Styela clava: one gene and its partner. The protein of the gene in region 2 interacts with the protein of the main gene of each other region in a pairwise test. Links are inferred from orthologs where the notes say so. Each region holds a gene or a part of one and is shown on either strand. Other genes may lie near its edges. The genes, in order: ADP-ribosylation factor-like protein 6-interacting protein 1 and inositol polyphosphate 5-phosphatase K-like.

Region 1 (10,416 bases), on a different chromosome or scaffold from region 2:
AGGTTATAATATAATTTAGTCTAAAGAATATATTCGTCAAAACGGATGTTTTTTAATATAATTTAGTGAAGCGTCGCGGGCCGGATTATATGCCATACCCGGCCCGCGGGCCGTAGGTTGCCGACCCCTACTATATGGGCTATGACGAACTCTTTTTTGAGTCTTAAGAGGTCGGGCCGTTATTAGATCCAGCAATTTGGCTGTTTTTCTTCATTGGGATATTACGGATTTGATTCGTATTAGCTGTTAATTTGCTAATATTGCGGTATTTCATTGTGATTTTAATTCTTATTAGCTGCATTGCGGTAATTTACTGTAAATTTAATTTATATTAACTGTTATTTTAATTCATATTAGCTGTTGTTTGCGGTATTTTACTGCGAATTTAATTCATATTAGCTGTTATTATGGTTTTTTACTGTGATATCTAGATTTACTGCGCTATTTTTGGATCTGTGTTATTTGGTATGGACCATAAGGGTCTGGTGTAATAAACGAATTGAATTATTACGTATGTGTGCTTGCGTAAGAGTTTTTAATTGAACTACTAACCTGGTTGACCACCCCAAGATAATTGGAGCCCTGTGGATCCAAATACGTTTGTATTTTCCATCTCACAACAAATTCACGCTCGGCTATAGACCACCATGAATGACAAAGTTATTATTAGTTTTATAAGGCTTGCCTATACGGTTCAATTTTTATTTGCAGTTCTTTCGTCGCTTCACAGGGATTATTTTTTTTATTTTTTCAATCTTATTAACAAATTTCTCCACTTTCAAATGCGCTAAAATTTTACCCAGGTGATAGGAATGTCGAGTAGTGAATAAATGGCCCAATTAAAGTAAGTCTTCACAAAGTGAAACGGGAAAACTTTGATCACAACTCCATTCTTTCAAAGGCGACTTCAATAGCTGGTGACCACAATGTGTTTATTCACAACTTAAAATATGTTGGCAGTACAGTCGAAAAACAACGAAATCACACATGCACACATACATCTAATAATACCCTATATAACAAAAAATCATGAGAAACAAAATATCACAATAATGTATACAAAATCCTACAAACAGTTTCTACATCATAATGTGAGTAGACTGGATGCTTTATGGATCATATGAAGAAACCATGCAGCAAAAAAAGAATTAAAATAATCTCGTGAGGAATGTAATAGCAAGTTGCTTAGCAGACCCTTCTATTTCAAAAAATAACAGGACCAGATTAAACATCACACTCCATATTCCACTCATGTCTAGAAAATTCGCAGCTATTTCATCTGATATGTGCAAGAAAATTTCAAACTTCAAAGCGTAATACAGCACTACATATAATTAATACTACCTATTAAACGGCTTTATGCCAATGAAGTATAATTTGACAAAATAGATTGACATGACAATTATAAGTTGACTATCAACAAGTCCACAAATGCTGTATGCTTAAAGATTGCTTTTCGATTTCAGGTTCCGAAAATAATAATTGGACATTACAAGAAAATGCTTATATTCCTAAAATTATGAATACGATTACACGGGACATTAAATAGTCAAATGAACAAACAGATTATGATTACTGAGACTTTTGCTTGTTGATAACTTTTTTCACATGTGTTGCAATCTTGTCCAGAATTCCATGCTCACTGAGGCCAGGCAAAGCAGATACAATCAAAACTGTAAATACACATAATTTGGACATAAAATACCTATTTAATCGAGAATATAGAACATAGCAAAAAATGGTGCTCCAGAAGTGTATGTACCAATATGGAGGTAACCAATTTTGTTGCCTACTTTACATCAAGTTGGATGAAGGGACTGAAACCTATGGGCAGGGGGCACTTGATTAACACAGACAGTCCCAGAACTCGTTATAGAACTAAAATATTCTCAGTTCAACCGAAAAGCTTTAGGAAAATCGGGATAAAATTATGGCCTAACCCTAACCTGGTATATACTATGAGAGGACCCTAATTTTTGTGTCAGGTCATTTTAATGACCTTAATGATTCAGGGTTTCTATCTTTGAACTGCTTTTTTATTATATGGACTTCAGTCAGTATACCTGATTGGTGGCAAATATAATTTTAAAATACCATTATTAGGGAACTCCAATGTCTTGCAGCAACTTTGTTTCCGTGATAAGTTGAGAGTTAGAAAATGGCAATTCTTACCGAAGAAATAGGCAAGCAGCAGGTTATGCATTTGATTTCCAAGCCATGCTAATGTACTGAGTGATACGGTGATCGCAGCCATGTACAACCATGGATTCTTATCCTTCAGTTTTCCGGCATTGGAGAACAAACTGGAAATAATCTTCTTTGACTGTACCAGTCCATCACAGGCTTGTACGTATTGTTTCTCTTTATCGCTACTCCTGCAATGTATCATGATATAAAGTTTTATTGAAAATATTAGAACTCAAATTCACATATATATTTGGAAATCTATTCAGCATATAAAAATTATATAAAATATATCAATGTCATAACCTTTTCACGAATCTATATTAGTGAGCTTTGCCTGTGGATTATGTGTGTATATGTTTAAGTCTTATATTACTTTTGAAATTTTCTACTGAAATTATTTTGACTAAATGTATTTTACATCAATTTATATAGTAGTCTATAAACAATTTCCGACAAAATAACACCTAAATTTTCAAAAAACCATAATATACATAAATAACATACGGTAAATAGAAATATTCTGTGAGCATGCCTGAATAATAATGAAACAAAGCTTGATCTATCAATTAATAGAAATTCTGTAATAGCCAGGAGTTCTGAATGGAATATATTACAGACAAAAATTTAAATTATTTAGCACCATTAGCTTTTTTGTTGCAATCTACAGACTAGCTGTTTTGGGAATTTTGCATGCGAAACGCTTCATTGCATAGACAGTCACACACAATAAAGTCATGACGTGAGTGCACAGGAAGGAAATGGTGATGCAACATATAAATTTTAGCTGTATTATGCAATGGCAGCATTTTATGGATGGCCCAAGCTTGTTAAAAAATGAAAACTCTAGACATTAACCAGTGTTTTATTCAGTCCAGATCACTAAAATCGCCTAATCATAAAGGTAAGAACATCATACATAAGTGAAAGTTACTTTATGGCAAAGAATTGACCTTCCAAAATGCAAATACAAAATTAATTGCATAATAATATATAATATGCGACAACACAGTATTGATTGTTCACAATGCGTGCACTCGATGAACAGACATCTTAACTGTCTGAGAGAGGTCATTTGTTGACAGTGGTTAATGCAGGTATCGCTTTTACTGTGATCTGATCAAACATTCATAAAAATGCAGAGAAATACATTAACGACACAAAAGTGTTCGATCACCAACAAAGGGTGTTAAATTTTGTCCAGATAATAAATCTGGATGAAAAAAAACTCACAGATCCAATAACATAGAGAGCAGTGCGCTAATGTACGAAACTGAAAATAACAAAACAGACGCAACATACCAGCTTGTTTCTGGAAAAATCATAGGCATTGCGAGTGGCACAACATAGTCAGCGATACATGCAATCATGATCAACATTGAGAATCCAGTAACCACAGATGGGTCCAACCACCAAATTAACCTAAATAGAATAGAAAATTGAAAATTTTACTCTGTATCGATGGAACTAAAAGCTTTAATCAAAATTTGGTTTTACTTTTGAGTCTGACTTCAGAGCTGGAGTCCAATCAATTTTATTGAACCAAGAGTTAAAAGAAACCAGACGGATTCAAACGAAACAGATTATTTAGAACAAAGTAAATTCTAATTTGACTGTAACAATATTTATGTTATTTCTTTGCAAATGGAAATTATTTATACATATAATAATAAAGTCTATCAATTGCTTTTCACTTGTGTTCCAGTTGTGCAATAGACTCAACCCAAATTTATTGGTGTCAAAATACAGTTACTGATCGTCCGAAACTGTTCATGAGTTATTTGGGTAAGACCAAAACTTATACATACTTTTTACTATGATGTTAACTATAAACAAATTCTCTTGACAATGATACATTTTGAAAACAGGTTCAACTTACGAAAAAAATAATGAGACAATCGCAAAAACAATAGCTGCGTAGTATGCTTGTTGCCACTTCAGAAGTTTAGCAAGAACAACAATTACTTCTCTCCATCCTTTCAAACTCCCCTTCAAAGTTCCCCCACTGCTTGATCCCTAAACATCAACCAAAAGTTTAATGTGTCAATGGCATGTTTGAAAACACTTTTCAACAGTTTTGTTGAATAAAATGCTAAACATAAAATACTTGATACCGTTTTAATTAAAAATCCCGTTAACTACTGAAATGGTGGTAAAGGGTGTAGAAAATGTGGCCATGTCAAAAACACATCTCAAGTGCACGAACAACATTCTTGGACCGAATAGACATTTACATAGATATACCTTTAATCAGGCAAAAAAAAGGTTTGTTAGGATGGTTAAATAAATACCAGCAGCCAAACCATACTGCCGTGCTAATTATAGAACTTGGCTTGAGTGGAATAACAAAATTACTTAACAGTAATATCCGAGTTTGAAATGGCATTCAAATATCTTTATAAATATGTGAACAGAAAAGAATTGCATGTACCTGCATAATTGGTGGCAAAAAATCTCCAGATTCAACAGGATTTTCCATATTTGATGCAAGCTAAGCAATTATGTAATTTAATCACTGCAATAATGCAAAAAACAATCAAAATATTGCCTCAGAGGCAGGGATGGCCATTTCCGAATACTAAACTATTCCGAATACATTCTAAAATAATGTTTTCGAATCTGGAATTCCGAATACATTCTAAAATCGAAAATAACACATTTTTGTTTTAGTTGATTAAAACCCAGTAAATTAGGAAATAAGCATCAATAGAAATATCAGAATGAAGCCACAGACCAACAGTATATGTACACAAAGTAATTGATAGTTTATAGCTATTAATAAAAAATAATAGCAACTTGTGACAGTCAGTTTATTAAAATTATTCACTTTGTACAAATGACCATATGAAAAGATAGCCAAGGAGTTGTCTGACGCTTTCTATCATTGGTATCAAGATATTACGATAATAGTCGAGTCTATTGACAAAAAATACTACTTGTATTCAGATAATTGTGTATATTTTCTGAGAGTTTTTAAATTTATTGGCAATACAGGCAACAACAATCGAAAATCCATCATGCCTTTAAAAATTCTAATATTTAAGCCTTGAGTATTCTACTACCTACCAGTATATTTGTATATAAATTTATGTGAACCATATTGTTATTATGTGTAACATATTGTTGTGTTTGGAGTTACAAATAAATTAGTAGAGAATAGATGACCAGCACTGCCAGCGCGCAGCCAGGATTTTTGAAATCGGAAATTCCCATTGCCGCCTGTAACACCCACCGCGATCTCGCACTCGTTAAAAGAGCCGACTTGTCAGCGTATACTGATCATTCTGTTACGTAAAATATTCAATCCATGACAACTACGAGATTCTAAAATATCTTTATATATTAATTTAATGTGTCCAACATAACTCGCGGTTGCTTCTTCTTACGTCAAAAAAAAAACATTACTATTCGGTCCACCGCAATCTGTGACCGAAAAGTACGAGATAAACTGCCTGATGTATTTAATTCTAATATGTATTTTTGCAATCTTGCCAACTCGTTATCGCCGTTAGAAAAATCTCAAATATTTATATAAAATCATGTTAAGTGTAGAGAGTAATTCATTTCATACAATGAATATACATACAATATACCGTCGCCGCGATTATGCCACCTGTTAAAAGAGTCGACGTTTACAACAAATAATATAACAACGAATATATATTTTTCTGTTGTGCAAAGTGATGAATTCGTGACCGACACGGCATATTTAAAATGTCTTGCTCTTATTAATTTAATTGTCTTCAATTTATCCTGCGGTTGCGTCGACAAAATAAAATCCTCACCACTCTTATATACCGTTGCAAACCACGGCCATAAAAATAAAAACGTGAGGTAAACTGTCCGATTAAGTATTGTTTTTATCCGTATTTTGCGAATTCGGCAAATATTCAGATGTACTTGTTAACAGTGACTCCGCTCGATCGAAATGCTCAGAGTAAAATATCTCAGAGTAAAATTTATTTCATCACAATAAAATTGATTGAATATACTTTAGATTAATTATATTATATACATCCTCACAACCAGGGAAAAAGTCGCGTTTCAAACCTTGTATCGTGTTAACACGAAAATATTCGACGACAATTTAAATGGATAATCAGGCAAATCCCGCCCTCAATTAGTGACGATATGTTTCTAAACGCCGACCAAACATAATGTGTGCCAGAGGCACACGAAATTTTGCGATTTTCACTGCCTAGAAAAGCGTTTTTTAAATTTTCGCGGGCCTCAATAAAACTTATGTTGTTTACGGTTTTATTTTCAGTATTTTAAATTGCCGCTTTTCAATCAAAAAGTTGCGTTGTCTTTAGAAACTCGCCGCCGATGAACGTATTTACCAGATTCACAATTCCGTGCGTATAATACAAAAATAAAATAAATGTTATCGTTATCGTGGAACAAATTAGAGAAAATAACACAATCGTAAAGGCGTTTACGGGCCTAAATAACACGTTACGCTGATGAGTGATGAAAACAATCACGCGCAAGTTTTCTATCGAGAATGTTTTCATTCAACGGAAACATCTTGAAAGCGGCGTCGAAAATGTGTGACGTCACACAAATATCCGATATTCTTATGAACGTGAATTCCGATATTCGAATGACGAGATATTCGAATACATTCGAATACTTTATTCGAATTGGCCATCCCTGCTCAGAGGTTGGCAATAAGCCAGCTTACATACTATGCAAAGCTTTTGCGGCAAACCAATGTGAATGAAAAACAATAACAAGTGCAATACAGTGATGGTAGTTAACATAATCTGTTCAGGACTGATGTTAGACTACTGATTTGTTCGAGTATCGAAACCTTTTTTGCCATAATGAAACAAAGGTAATTATTTTATTCGTTCTTATGCATTCAATTATAATCAAAATGTGTACCTGAACAACAACAATTATTTAAATATGTATATAATTGAGATATAAACTATTTTACTGTAGGTTAAAACAAATTTTTTTGAGCTATGGCAGTGGTTCACAAACCTTTTTTTTTCGCGACCCCAATTTTCATGAAAAACCAAAGCCTACAGATACTCGCGACCCCACAACTTGAAACGTTGAGCAACTTCAAAATGACCTCAATGGGAACAATGTACCTGTATATCGACTGCAAGTGGATGTTTACGATAAATATTAGCTAAAAATATATATGAACGAGTCCGGTAACGCGCTAGAAAACCCCAAAAGATTTGATACCACATGAAATCGTATGAAAACTATGATGTAAAAATCTCTCAGATCATAATTATAACGGTTCTTTGGCGAAACATTGACAAACTTGATAAAATGTCGTAGATTGTAAAGAAGCGTATGATACTTAGTAGGAAATAGTATGATTGCTTCTAAATATACATGAATTTAGAATCTTATTTAGTATATTTCAAAAGTGTCTTGTTCTATATAAACATATTACAGATTGCTCCATTATTATTTTAAAAATAAAACAGAGCATGAAAGTAAAATAGGAAAAAACGTGTAAGGAATCAAATCTTTTGAGTGCCTTTTATTATGCTAGAACTTGTGGTTTTTGAGTTCTCGGAACGCTTTGAAATTACGTATTAAACGTCTAAATATGTAATATTGCAATACAAAATGTTCACTTTTATGTGAAGGCGATGTGGACAAAACACGTAGCCCACTGGTCGATTTTAGACACATGCGCGAATTAACAAAGCGCTTTCGCAACTGATCAAAACCTGAAATGTAATTACCCGCCTGGCAATCAATACCATACTTGTCAAACACCTAAGAAAGCAACTTTGCTTCGTATATTCGAAACCAACATAATTTCTTGCAGTCTGGCAAAAAATCTGATTCGCGAACCAGAGGGTCCACTACTCATTCGGATGTAACATGATCAAAAAGGAGAATATTATTAGCGCTCGTAAGTTGTCGTAACACTGTCATTCAATTACATTCACTAATATGGTACCTGCCGACCATCTGAAAAGGTTAGGTACCGCATGAAAAATCCGAAGTTAGATACTTTCACGGTACCTGCCGACCATTCCAAATCCTATATTCACTTGTGTGCACATTTTTGACAGAAATTAGGCGGGGTCGCTACCCACAGTTTGGGAAGCACTGCTCTATGAAATTCGTTTTTTTGTGTGTTATGAGTTTTATGACATCATTCAAATTGCTGTGGCGGAGACGCTTTTGCATTAATCGCATTGTCGGTAGTCCACTGGCACTACTAATGTTTTGGTCGACCACCGAATTGTTCCAGTATTGAGTTATTCGACTCTCGAGGTATCACTACATATGGTCTGATGCTGTTGGGCAGGGTAGAAGTCCCTAAACCAAGAGATGCGAGGCAATTTGACTTTGAGGCACAGGAGATATCACTGGTACTGCAGTACTGGGCAAATTTTTCGTAAAAATTGATATAAAGGATTCAATGAAACCCAGTAAGTTAGCAGAAAATCTGTGTAATTTTTTTTTATTTTGAACATATGAATTACCCCATTTCAATGGGACACAAGAGCAAGATTTTTCATAATAATTCAGTAAAACCGAATATAGACAACCTAATTACAAGTGCAGTTTTAGGTATTTTGTGGAGTCTGAAGCTGCCGCAAAACCATGGCGGGACTTCTGAAACAATGGCCGCTAGGGCCAAATTGCGGCAACTGACTTTTTAGCTGCCACAAACCAATGGTAAGATGCCGGTACCACGGCAGCAAATTGAAAATCAACGGCGGATAAAATTTTGCCGCCGTAACCAAGGCATGTCAGCTGTAATGGCAAGGCTGCCCCTGATGATGACAAATATTGGGTAAGTTGGAATATCTTTCTTATGGATAGAGTTTTTTTGTAAAATCATGTAAAAACAAGTTTTTCCAATTGTTATTTATCTACTAATTAAATACACTTATATAGACATTTGTATATATACTTTGTAGATAATACTCTTCATACACAGTTACATAATAATGTTAGCTCTCTTGTGAAATTGGGTGAGTTTTTAAGTTTCTCTACTTTATTTCTACATTTTAAAGCATTTTTAACTTTGTTTATTACACTATTACCACTTGGCATAACATTTTGAAAAATTACTGCATTTCGATGCAACCAAATCTTATACCTAGTAATAGACAATAACAAAATAATAGCATTTTTTTCTACAATTGATAAATGTTCATAATAATGGTTACTCAAATCTAATAATACACAAGTTTCATAATCAATTGAATTGTTTCTGCCAGTTATTTTCATTATAATCAAAAAAACATAATCATATACTTGTTTTACAAACGGACAATTCATAAACAAATGTGATACTAATTCTGTTTCTATATCACACATAACACACAAGTCATTTCAAGCAATAAATCTAATTCTAGATACACATTTGAGTGGCAAAATATTCCACATTAATTTATAATTGAAACTTTTCACATAATTTGCTAAAATGTCATTGTGAGTATTTGAACATGGTTTTTCAATATTACTTCTGCAAAGAAATACCATTCTTTCACTCTTTAGTGAGTTGATTATTTTGTTATACAATACTCTATGATATTCTTGCCTAGCTTCTAGTAAAGTAATTTTATGCATTTTCATAAATTCTATAATGAGTTTATAAATCTTATGAGGTTGTAAACTATGTTTGACACTATTATTTACAGACAAACCATAATATACAGTTGATTGTTGCCCTATGTTGAATTCTATTAAATTTGAAACAGTTCTATTTTTTTGGTTATCACTTATCAGTATCTCTATCATATGGATACAGTTTTGGGGTTAACGTACGTTTCAGGTTTGGGTAGATATAATTCTGCATAATAAACTAAAATCTGGTACATGAATTTGTAAATATACCGGTATTACTACTGTACTGATTACTGAATAGCACCATAAAACCATGGCAAGAGACGCCTTTGTTCGTGGCAGGAGCTGCCATAAAGTGGTAGGAACTGCAACCCCTTAATCATGTGGCAAAACCAAAACTCAGTCCAGTAAGTTAATAGTTAAATACTGAAACAAGTACATTGTTCCTGATACCGGTACAGGGGCTGCCAAGGAAACAAAACAACAAGAAAATGCAGAAATACCTGGACGACGAGAATTCTGTTCAGGAAAAAGTTAAAAACGTAGGGACCAAACTCTAGGTAGCGGCAGCCTAGGCCAACCCACAACAAAATAGTGTACCTACAGGTCGGCAGTCACTACAGCACCACTGTAGTGAATAAATTTCCATAAATAAATATTTGTGGAGTA
Region 2 (10,640 bases):
AATGCAATATGCAAAATATTCGATCATATTTCAGTTATGTTGAACACAATTCTGTTAAGTTTTCGCGGCGCATTTTGCAACACGCTACAGCGCACTAGTAGCATACCTTTTGGGGCCATTACACCATTTTTCTTTATCAATTTCACCCTTTCATTTTTTGGTGTTCCGCGAGGCGAGATAAAAAGCGTAAGTGTTCCGTGGCCTAAAAGTTTGGGAAACGCTGTACTAGGACAACAGACATGAAATTGACTTTACAAATATAACTCTTGTAAAATACACAATACAACGAGATACGGGACAACGACGATATGTACAATAGTCTGTTTATGACTACGTGTACGTCCATGTCTCAGGTTCCAGTGTAATGACTTCTGCTATTCCGGGAATTATTATTCGAGAATACGCAATCAAAGCAACTAGGGAGTTGACCAGTAGAAGATAAAAACAATAATGTGCAAATCTCAAGTATTAGTAAATCTTCAACACGTAGTTGTTTTTCATTTTTGAACAAATCCGCAACACTGTCTCTCCGACCCCTATCAAAAGTCATTTTCAAGAAGTGATTACAGACACTTTGAATTTTTGCTGTAATACCATTTTGACGATGCATCCAAGTGTATATACAATATCGTATATGACTTTCTATTATGAATGGTATAATGATAACAGGCACGACTTATTAAGATTTTTATTGATTTTTGAAATAGCTCGAATGCTTTCCTTGTTTTTGATAGTACCAATTGTGAATGATATTTCCATGACAATTTGTCATCGGACAAAACACCCAGGAAACGAATTTGGTTTACTCTTTGAATGCACTTGGACTGCAGAATGAGGTCATCGTTAAGAATGGATAGTTTTTGTCTACTCTAGCTGCATTGAAAATCATGTACTTGGTCTTTTCCGCATTTACTGTTAGTTTGCTAGCAATTAGCCATGACTGAATATTCGTAAGGTCAGCATAAGCTTTTTCAATAATGTCTGGTAAATTTTTACCCTGTAGGAACGGAGTGGTACCATCTGCAAATAGGATAGCATCAACGTCTTCGAGTGATTTAGGGAAGTCATCAATCATAATCAAGAAAAATATAGGCCCCATAAACGATCCTTGAGGGGCCCAATTGTTAAGTCGCAGTATTTACTTAAAGAGTGCCCGTCATAAACTAACACTTGTTTGCGATCGAACAGGTAACTACGGGACCACGAAAAGCAATGACCTCTAACACCTATGTGGTAGAGTTTGGAAAGCAAGATGTTTCAAATTCACCCTTACTTGTAAGTAGGGACGTAGCCTGAGAGGTGGTATGTCCCTTGCGAAAACCAAATTGTTGATGGTAGAAAAAACTCTTTTGTTCTAAAAAGTTAACTAGTCTATTGTACAGGACGTTTTCTGAAATCTTAAAATCGGCGGTAAGCTAATCGGACTATAGTTTTTGACATTTTTCATGTCTCCGCCCTTATGAAGCGGTACTACTTTAGCGATTTTAAATACATCAATAAATTGTCACAATTGCAAGGAAAGATTATAAGTTTCATGGCATTGCTCTGATTTCTGTGGCTGTCACCGGTGACAGAAACATTGAAGAGTTACTAGATTTGTCCATGAAGTTACCGTCATTATCATGAGTAAATTTATCAGCCATTCGCTTCTCTATCGTAGAAAAATGTTCATTGAAACTATCAGCTATCCATACAGGATCACACGTTTCCTTATTTCCTACAACAAATACTTCCGACAGTTTAGATTCAGTGGTTCTATAGAACCGTCTCTCGAAATTTTATGAGATCAGCGAACCGGTTAGCGTGACTGAGTTACTGTCAATGTTCTGTTTGTAACAGAACCGACTGAAAAATAAAACTTTTGTGAAGGAACCGGCTGACAAAAAATTTTAATCTTACCACTGTTTAGATTTGCATCACTCTAGCAAGGTATCCATTGTTTGCCATGATTTTTTCAGATCGTTTTTAGTTTTACTCAAGAGCAATCTGTAGTAAGAATGGTTTTTGGCCAATATCATTTTTCGTACGTTTTCTTGATTTCCTAGAATAGTGCAATTTGTTTATGAGAGTTGATTTGTACAGTTTTTGTTTTTCTTATGAAGTTTTGTTCATTCTTTATCAAACCACTTTTTGTTAGATTTTTTGATCAAAATCTGAGCAAAACAACGATTATAAACTGGCATAACATTGCAAGAATATTTTCTAACGGCATCGTCCGGGTCTGATTCTTCACACACTACAGAGAAATCGATACATTCTAATGACGTACTAAAATTGGTGACCGTACATTTGAACTCACGTACATTTGAACCCATGTGTATATCCGCGGGTTCAATCTATATGCGGGTGCTAAAACCCATGGGTTAGGGTTAGTATGGGTTCGAACGAATATCCGTGAAACAAAAAAAAATTCCATAGGTGCAATAGTATGCAGGTGCAATTGTCATGGGTTCAAATGTAATGGAACCACTAAAATTAGTCATATTGGCCGAATTAAATGATCGAGAAAAACTGTTTTTCTTCGTTTTTAAGTGTTTTTTTTGTCCTATCGGTCACATGGCTATTACAGGTAGTTGATCAGAGATTGCATCGGTTGGAATAGCACTGACAGGTTTTCGATCGTATATGTTTGTCCATATATTATATGATCAAGAATTGTCGCGCTGTTTTCAGTTATTCTGGTCGGTTCGTTTATAGTGGGAGAAAAATAGGTTCATCAACCCAGTCAATTCGTTGACGAAACGGTGCGAGTAGTCCATCAGGTCGTAACTAAGATCACCCATTAGTATACTGTGTCTTGATAGTGAGGACAAAACAGTGTTCATGAGATTAAAAAATCTTTATTTCTCGACTTATCAGACAGTGGGGATAGGTAAACAGTACCACAAGTTACAATTCGGTCTCTGAGATAAACGTCGACAAATAATGATTCGAACGTTTTCTCTTTCATTATGGACAATTCCGGTCTGGTTTTGAAGGTAATACCATCTCTAATATACAAGCCTACTCCACCACACTTAGGGTTTATTCTCGCATTTGAGAAATGAATCTGTAATCACGTAAACTTATATGTGCGCCAACTTGGTCGGGTCTAAGCCAAGTTTCGTTAACCGCAATTTTATCGGGTCGACTAGTCATTGATTCTAACAAAACTTTCAGTTTGGCAAATTTTTTTGGGTTAGAAAGCGAACGCATATTTGCGCACATTGTGAAAAGATAACTGTTTCGCTTTAAGCTTGGACAAATCTCTTCAATATCGTTTGCACTTATATATTGACAATCGCATAGTCCCGAGGCTATTTCATCCTGGTCGTCAATGAGATCAGAGGACAGAGATAGAAAGGTCATTCAAAGATAATGGACCTTTCCCTGAGCATCTTTGTTTACTTCGTGACATTGGCCAATCAGCAAGATGCAAAAAGTGACGTAACAATTCTCCCTTTTTGCATCCGCCCTTATGGCTTGGACATCCCGCTGATTAATTTTATCAGCAAGATGCAAAAAGTGACGTAACAATTCTCCCTATTTGCATCCGCCCTTATGGCGGATTTTTTTTTTCTTTTCATCTTGCTCTCCTCGGCTGCTGCTCTCGCCTGACCTCGCCTTGTCTCCATTATTAAACTCCACACTGACCTCTCCTCAACTGCTCGGCCTTGTCTCCATTTTTACTCCACACTGACCGTTTGGCCATCCCGCTGATCGATTTACTTACTCCTATTTATTTTTCCTGGCTCTCGCCTGAAATCTGCTCGCCTGACCTTTCTCCCCCCCCCCCCCTGAACTGCTCTCGTCTTGATATCTTTCGCCTCGATTTTTTCTTTTGCTGCTGCTCTCGCCTGCCTCTTTCTCCCTCGACCGTCTGCCTTGTTTGATGGTCTACCCCTACAACTCACTCCACCATGTGGGGTTCGAACCACGATCCTAATGTTTGATCATGTCTGAACGCTTCCCCTGAGCTACAGCTGCTGTTGAGAATAGGGTGGATTAAAATCTTACTTGATTAACGACGTCACACTTGACAGCCTGTGACGAGGCTAATCGCCTACAGAATGATGGCGCACAACCTGAAAGTTAATCTGGTACACATACTATGTTAAGGTTGTGCGCCATCTTGGTGCACATATTTCGCGAGCTCCCAATTTACATTTATTCGAATCATGTTCATTCGTACCTCGATTGAAAGCGTTTATCTGAGACTATCGTGTGCGCTGCTTCAACTGTTGAATGCGTGAATATCCCGTTTTAAAACAGTTGTTCATTTTAGTTTAGTTTTTAAGGAAAATGCTAAGATAATTCAAATTAGTGAATGTGCAAACCAAATTTCTGACTGTCAGTGGAGGAATACTAATTTAATCTTTCTGTCTCTTGTGCTAACTAGCCGTCGTATCTCTGGTTTACTTTTCTGAATTTATAAAACATCTCAGATAAAAATTGGCGATGCGTTATGCCCTTTTATAGATTGAAACGATATCGTACACACTAAAAAATGAAAAACACCGTAAATTTTGTCCGAAGAATCCCACGACATGTGAAACATGCTACCCCAGTCATTAAAGATGAAATGTAGCAAATTGCGCGTGTTATGCACCTTTCTATTCATTCTGATACTACGTCGAGGTCACGCGTCATAGTGTAACGGTTAGTAGATGTTTCTACAGTGTATTGAATCAGAAGACTCAGATTCCGGATTTGTGGTTTATTATGGCGACAACTTCGTGTTTAAAACACTTAAAACAGCAAAAAACACAGAATACAGAAAACACGCCCGCCTGCCAGCGCGGCAGCCGGAAAAGAAGAGCGTGAAACTCTTTTTCTAACAACTCGAGGGTGATTGGAGTCTCACAATAACCGGACCCGGATGAAGTATATCCAAATTAAGGGTCCTCGAAAAAGCATATAGGCAAATATAAAAAGACAAACTAAACTAAAACACACGGATAATAAAATCCGTGACAATAGTTCTCATGATTCAGATGAAATTTTTGAAGGCTGTAATCAATGTGAAGGCCGTGGTCAATTAATCTTCCATTGTATTATAAGTGCATTCATTGCGGTCTGTATATTAAAATTTTGGACCTCCTGAAGCATGCGCACCAAGATGTCGCATAACTTGAACCCTAACCTGGTACACAACCTGAGTTCAGGAGGTTTAAAATTTCTGTGGTGCCCCATTTTCCTTTGCTCCCTAAGCACGTGCTTATTTTCCCTAATGGACAAGACAGCACATCTCAATACATATATATATATATGAAATTTATTTGTGAAATTTAGCATCATTTGTGGCTTTTATTTATGGTATATAATATATTATAAAAGGTTTAGCTTTTGAATTGGGTAAAGTAGGTAGCGGTAGTAGGGCTAAAGTGGGGCGCGGCGGTGTGGCTCAACGGGCTAAGCGTTAGGAATACGCTCGCCACCGCACCTCTAACTACTCTGCGTGGGTTCGCAGGTTCGAATCCCATGCAGGAATGGTTATGTGCGAGAGGATTGCTGGATTCCTCGCCGTCGTTGGGTGGTTCACGTAACCGCTGGTCAGTTACGGCTTCCTCCACCACCAAGTCCATGCTCCCGAAAACAAACAATACAGTAAATCTAATCCCATACCCGACTTGGAATGGTAACCGGACGAGAGGCCGTGGTTCGCCATATGGATAAGCCGTCTTATCGGCTTTCCTCTTCCCCGGGATAAATATGTAGATCTTATCCTATCCTATCCTAAAGTAATTTCAACTTACCCATGAACATTAATCGTCAAGTAACAATGTGTTGTTTTATTTTTAAAATTTATTGTGGGCTCCGTGAATAATAATCAACTTCTTCAACGGCTCCGTAACACCAAAAGTTTGAGAAACCCTGGTCTACAGCACCATGGAACACAATAGGGTTCTTTTTCCAATTTCTTGTACTCATTTTGGGATGAACCACTGCATTTCAAATGAATCCAGTGTGAACAGTGGTCGCAAAAAATACTGTAGGCTATTCATTATCTTTTACAATTTTACTACAACCATGGCATGATAGAACATCAGTATTATTTTTTCTGGTCATCAATGCTTTCTAATAGACTATGTAACGGCTGTACTACAATCCAAATTGCCGAAAGATAGTCGTTGGGCTTCAGTCAACAAGATGCGGCGTCGTTCGGGAAGAGATTCGGTGATGGAAAGGCGGGTTCCGCGGAGTCCTTTTGGGGCAGAATAAATTTGGCATTTAACGCTTCGACGTACAAATTTGACAATGATCGGTGATTTCCTTTCGAGTCCTTTGGTAAGACGTGTGTCGTATCGATGTGCCCGAATTGAACAGGATACTTGTGTATCAAACGTGTGTTCAGAGTCCTCGCCACAAACATTGCAAACCTTTGATATGGTTTGGACGTTCCTATGTAAATTTAGTTATTTGGTTTTTATTATGTAATGGTGCAAGTGTTTTTAAAATGTACAAACTCAAACAGAATTTATATTCACACCGAGCTGGTGTGAAGAGTTTTGGAATAAGCTAAATCGGAATATAACGAAAAAATCTGGAGGAAGTCTATCAAGTTGACAGTTGCACGGCTGAATAAGTCTCGTACAGCTGGCTGGCTGGCGAACGCTTTGTTTACATTTTGCGGTTTCGCAATTTCTGCAAGGACTTGGGTTCGACGATTTGTTCTGTTGTTCGCTATTTTCTCTGATTTCAGAATTGATTAAAACAGTTTTTGTTTTAATTGCAACGAAAAAAAGTAAAAACGTCGAGTTTTTGGGTTGCGATTTTGGTTGTGTTGCTGGCTGCCTTCGGTGCTATCCACTGGTCAACAGACAAGGAAGTGGAAGAGAACGTTAATGGAATAATGGCGGATCAGTTTAAGAAATTCAGGTAGGTTTTTTTATATGACTGATTATAAGATCTTACCATGAGTCCCGTACCGTACTTGTCAGAACTGGTGTAGACTATTAACGACATTGATTCATTTATAATGAAGGTGTAGAATGTCAGAATTAGATAGATAGTTTACTTTGAAAACTCCACAATCTGACAATGGTACAAACAAATAAAGAATGGAGAATTCTGGAGTGCGAGCAAAACCTTTAAAAAAGTTTAAAACAAGATTCGTATCATTTGCCCGCTCACCAACAGCATTCACAAATAAAAAACTCAAACTTTGTTAAACAAGGCTTGGGCCAGAAATAAATACAAAAATACACAAAAAATATGTGAATGTAATAAACTTTCTGGCTGTTGTTTACTTTTAAAATACTCAAGCTAAGAATTCTTATATAAATCACAGGAAACTCAGAAACTAGAAAAGGGAAGCCAAAAAATGCTGAAATGGTTAATAACAGAACAGCAAAATATTGGTTCCATTACATTTGAACCTACGTACTATTGCACCTATAGAAAAAAATTTTGTTTTACGAATATTTGAACCCATACTAACCCTAACCCATGGATTTTAGCACCCACATATAGATTGAACCCGCGGATATACACATGGGTTCAAATGGGTTCAACCCAAAATATTATATCATTTAAATTTTAATTACCTATTCCTCGATCTCGGTTAACTCAACTCAAAACTGCTCCTTGTATTTAATTAATTGTCCATTTCGTCATATACAGATATTATTACTATATTAGCCTATATCTTTACATGGCATTGATTATAACACTGCCGGACACAGGCTTGTATAATTTTGTAAGGGGAACATGCGGATATATTAAAAACTGATCTTATCAGAATTATTGCACTGTTGTATTAATTGTTAAACATCAGGTTTACGCATCCCGAAAAATTTTATTTTAATCTATTTCCATTGTGGCTGTGATATGCCATATCATTAAGCTGTCTTATTAGCTTTCCCGTTCTCCCAATATAATAATGAAAATACAAAAATAATAGTCTACTATCTGCAGTAAACTGATAGATGTCTTATGTACTTTCTTTCATGGGAGAAATAAATAAATCCTGCATATTATCTAATTCCCAGCACAGGGAGGCTATCTCTATTCTCTATCATAAAGATAGTTATTTTCACCTTGTTAAATATATTCCAGAATATTCGTCAGCACATGGAACGTAGGGGAAGCTGATCCATTGGATGAGAAAGATATTGAAAAATTATTGAAATCAAATGTTGAAGTTGATTTCTATGCCATCGGGTGAATAGCTGTTATGTTTTTAGTTTCATAACAAGGTTTTCATGTTATTGCAGGAACCTTTTTACTAGCAATACCTGTCTAAAATATAAGGTCCTAGTAGTTTTTTTTAGTTGTGATGTGCTGTTACGACTTTTGCTTTGAATAACTTTCTGTTCAAGCCCTCGGTAAGGTGATGAAGGTGAGTAGGGAGTACCCAGTTGGGGTTTCTGCAGGTTGTGACCCCTGCATTTAAAATGTGAAAAAAGGATTTTTCTATATTAACTTCAGAAGGGAAAAAGCGCCAGGGTGTTCAAAAGTTTGGTTGTGGTAAATTATCTCACATGTTTTAGGGAAATAATAAAAATTTAAAATTATATCAATATTTTTTCCAGGTTTCAAGAAATCAAAACTGGGGCGAAAGAAACTGCGAAAAGTTTCATCAAATACGATGACTGGGCTCAAGCTGTCATGGAATTTCTGTCAAAGAAAAGTTTCTATTTGGTAATATAGATTTTTAAAATTTACCCTAGGGAGAGAAGAGCTGTTAAAAGTGAACAACAAACTAATTCAGACTCTGATGAACCCAAAAGGTCATATCGTTGCAACTCAGTCACACACCAAAGCATCTGTCTATTTATTATTTATAAATGTTTGCATATATTGTGTGTTTTATGGTTTGGCAAATGAAATAAACTCTCTTCCTCTCTCTGAAAAGGAAGGGTTAATTTATGGGGAACCATGGTCCCTGATTCAATTGCCAAACCCATGCATGGTAATCAGTAGATTGATGGCGAGCTCATTCTCCTCCACGGATATCCAAGACAGATAGAAAATTAAATGCATTCAATAGTGGTTATATTTGATATTGTAAATATTTCATTTTAGATATAAGGTAGATTAGAATAATTTATTTTGAAATTTATCATTTTGACAATTTGATATCGGACATCAGAGAAAAGTAAAAGTTAGGCCAACTTCTAACGGTGTTGAATAAAGTTGTAAGTCAAAATAACATCTACCGGTATCTCAATAAACATCAGACAAAAAAAAAGAATTGACTTAACTTCTGACTTTGTAAAATGAAAAATCAATCAAAACAATATTTATCTTAACTACTCAATTATAAAATTTAGATTTAATGATGTTGCAATGATTAATAAAACAAATTTTGTTGTTGAACATTACTCATTATGAAATTAATCATTATTGCATAATCAAGAATATACAGGGCAGTCGCTAGAAATACAGAAAATTAGTCAAACATTTTGTCAGTCCCCAAGGCGGATTTTCACATTTGAAAAGAAATATCATTTTCTTTTTTAAGTCAACTTGTTTCTGCCTTCTTCCTTGATGTTGGTGTCAAAATAAAATAAAATAGAAGTTAAAACAACTTAGAACCTAAAATAAATGAAAACATATCGAAAAATAAATAAGCATGCATTTTATTCGTTATCATATTGAAGTTTTGTGAAACAAGCTTCACTTTTTTTTGACAGATTGAAAGTGTGAGAGTTCAAGGGATTTCACTGAGTGTTTTCGCATCAATCAAGCATCTGCCGTATGTTCAATTTGTTAAGACAGAAATTGAAAGAACAGGAGTTGCTGGTGCATGGGTGAGTCTTTATATATATCAGTTTTGTGTGAATGTGGGTGTGGCATGGGCGTTTCTTTTTTATATACCATTTCCACTCAAACCAGTGTCAACCAGCCACTTTTTCATGGTGATCACTCTTGGGGCAGTGTGTCTCATGTAGCATATCATATTTAAATTATAGTAGTGTAATCACAGATCCCAGGTCTCAACAAGTCTTTGTCCAAAAAGTGTTTAATCAAAAATATGATTAATTGGGTGGGCGATGCTGAACAGGAAAGGTCCATTTACTTTTATAATAGGCTATGTATCTTTTTACATTTTCTATATACTTTTACAGTACTTTTAACATTTTGAAGATTGGAAAAAAGTTCTATATTCTTTAATTCTTTTGTTGAAATAAAATTCTCACAAATAGTGAAATACATCAACAATCATGTTTTTACTTCTTTGCATTCAATATACGTCTGATTGTTTCGTCATTATCACAGTTTACGCACTTGTATATTCGTCACAATTCAATTATACGGCTATCTTAATCATTCGTACAGGTACCAGTATCCGTCCTTGTGGGCGCTCCTCTTTCCCAGCCCGCAAAATATCTTTTAGTTTCTAATTTGGGCCTCTGGTGGCCCAGTCACTCAACTTTAGGAAGCTCTGTTTTAGAAGGAGGAACTCTCAGACAAATAGTTCAAGCACCATTAATAATGCAGTTAAAAGCAAGCATGTCTTCATTGCCAAGAGATTAGAATGGTGATGAAGAATAATTTTGCCAGTTTTAAAATGAATTTTTCATTAAGTAACTCTCAAAGCAAGGTCATTAATATTCATTTTAAAGAGTGTTGGGTTTATTTTATAGTTTCTGACAAGTTACAAGATTCGGGACATAATTTTAGTTCTATTACATTTTCGGGGGCTGTGTGTGTTA

Evidence for each region.
Region 1: the proteins of inositol polyphosphate 5-phosphatase K-like (region 2) and ADP-ribosylation factor-like protein 6-interacting protein 1 interact in binary tests that used the Homo sapiens proteins (3 or more experiments, as listed by UniProt). The link is inferred for Styela clava from reciprocal best matches to the Homo sapiens genes INPP5K and ARL6IP1.

The regions. Positions count from the first base shown.
Region 1 is NC_135263.1:19,670,684-19,681,099, forward strand, and holds ADP-ribosylation factor-like protein 6-interacting protein 1, read right to left. Parts: upstream 4,702-10,416; 5' UTR 4,664-4,701; coding exon 4,616-4,663; intron 4,201-4,615; coding exon 4,064-4,200; intron 3,607-4,063; coding exon 3,487-3,606; intron 2,376-3,486; coding exon 2,173-2,375; intron 1,674-2,172; coding exon 1,573-1,673; 3' UTR 912-1,572; downstream 1-911. UniProt on the Homo sapiens protein: Positively regulates SLC1A1/EAAC1-mediated glutamate transport by increasing its affinity for glutamate in a PKC activity-dependent manner.
Region 2 is NC_135252.1:22,906,613-22,917,252, reverse strand, and holds the start of inositol polyphosphate 5-phosphatase K-like, read left to right. Parts: upstream 1-6,393; 5' UTR 6,394-6,832; coding exon 6,833-6,858; intron 6,859-8,037; coding exon 8,038-8,142; intron 8,143-8,513; coding exon 8,514-8,622; intron 8,623-9,617; coding exon 9,618-9,734; intron 9,735-10,640. UniProt on the Homo sapiens protein: Inositol 5-phosphatase which acts on inositol 1,4,5-trisphosphate, inositol 1,3,4,5-tetrakisphosphate, phosphatidylinositol 4,5-bisphosphate and phosphatidylinositol 3,4,5-trisphosphate.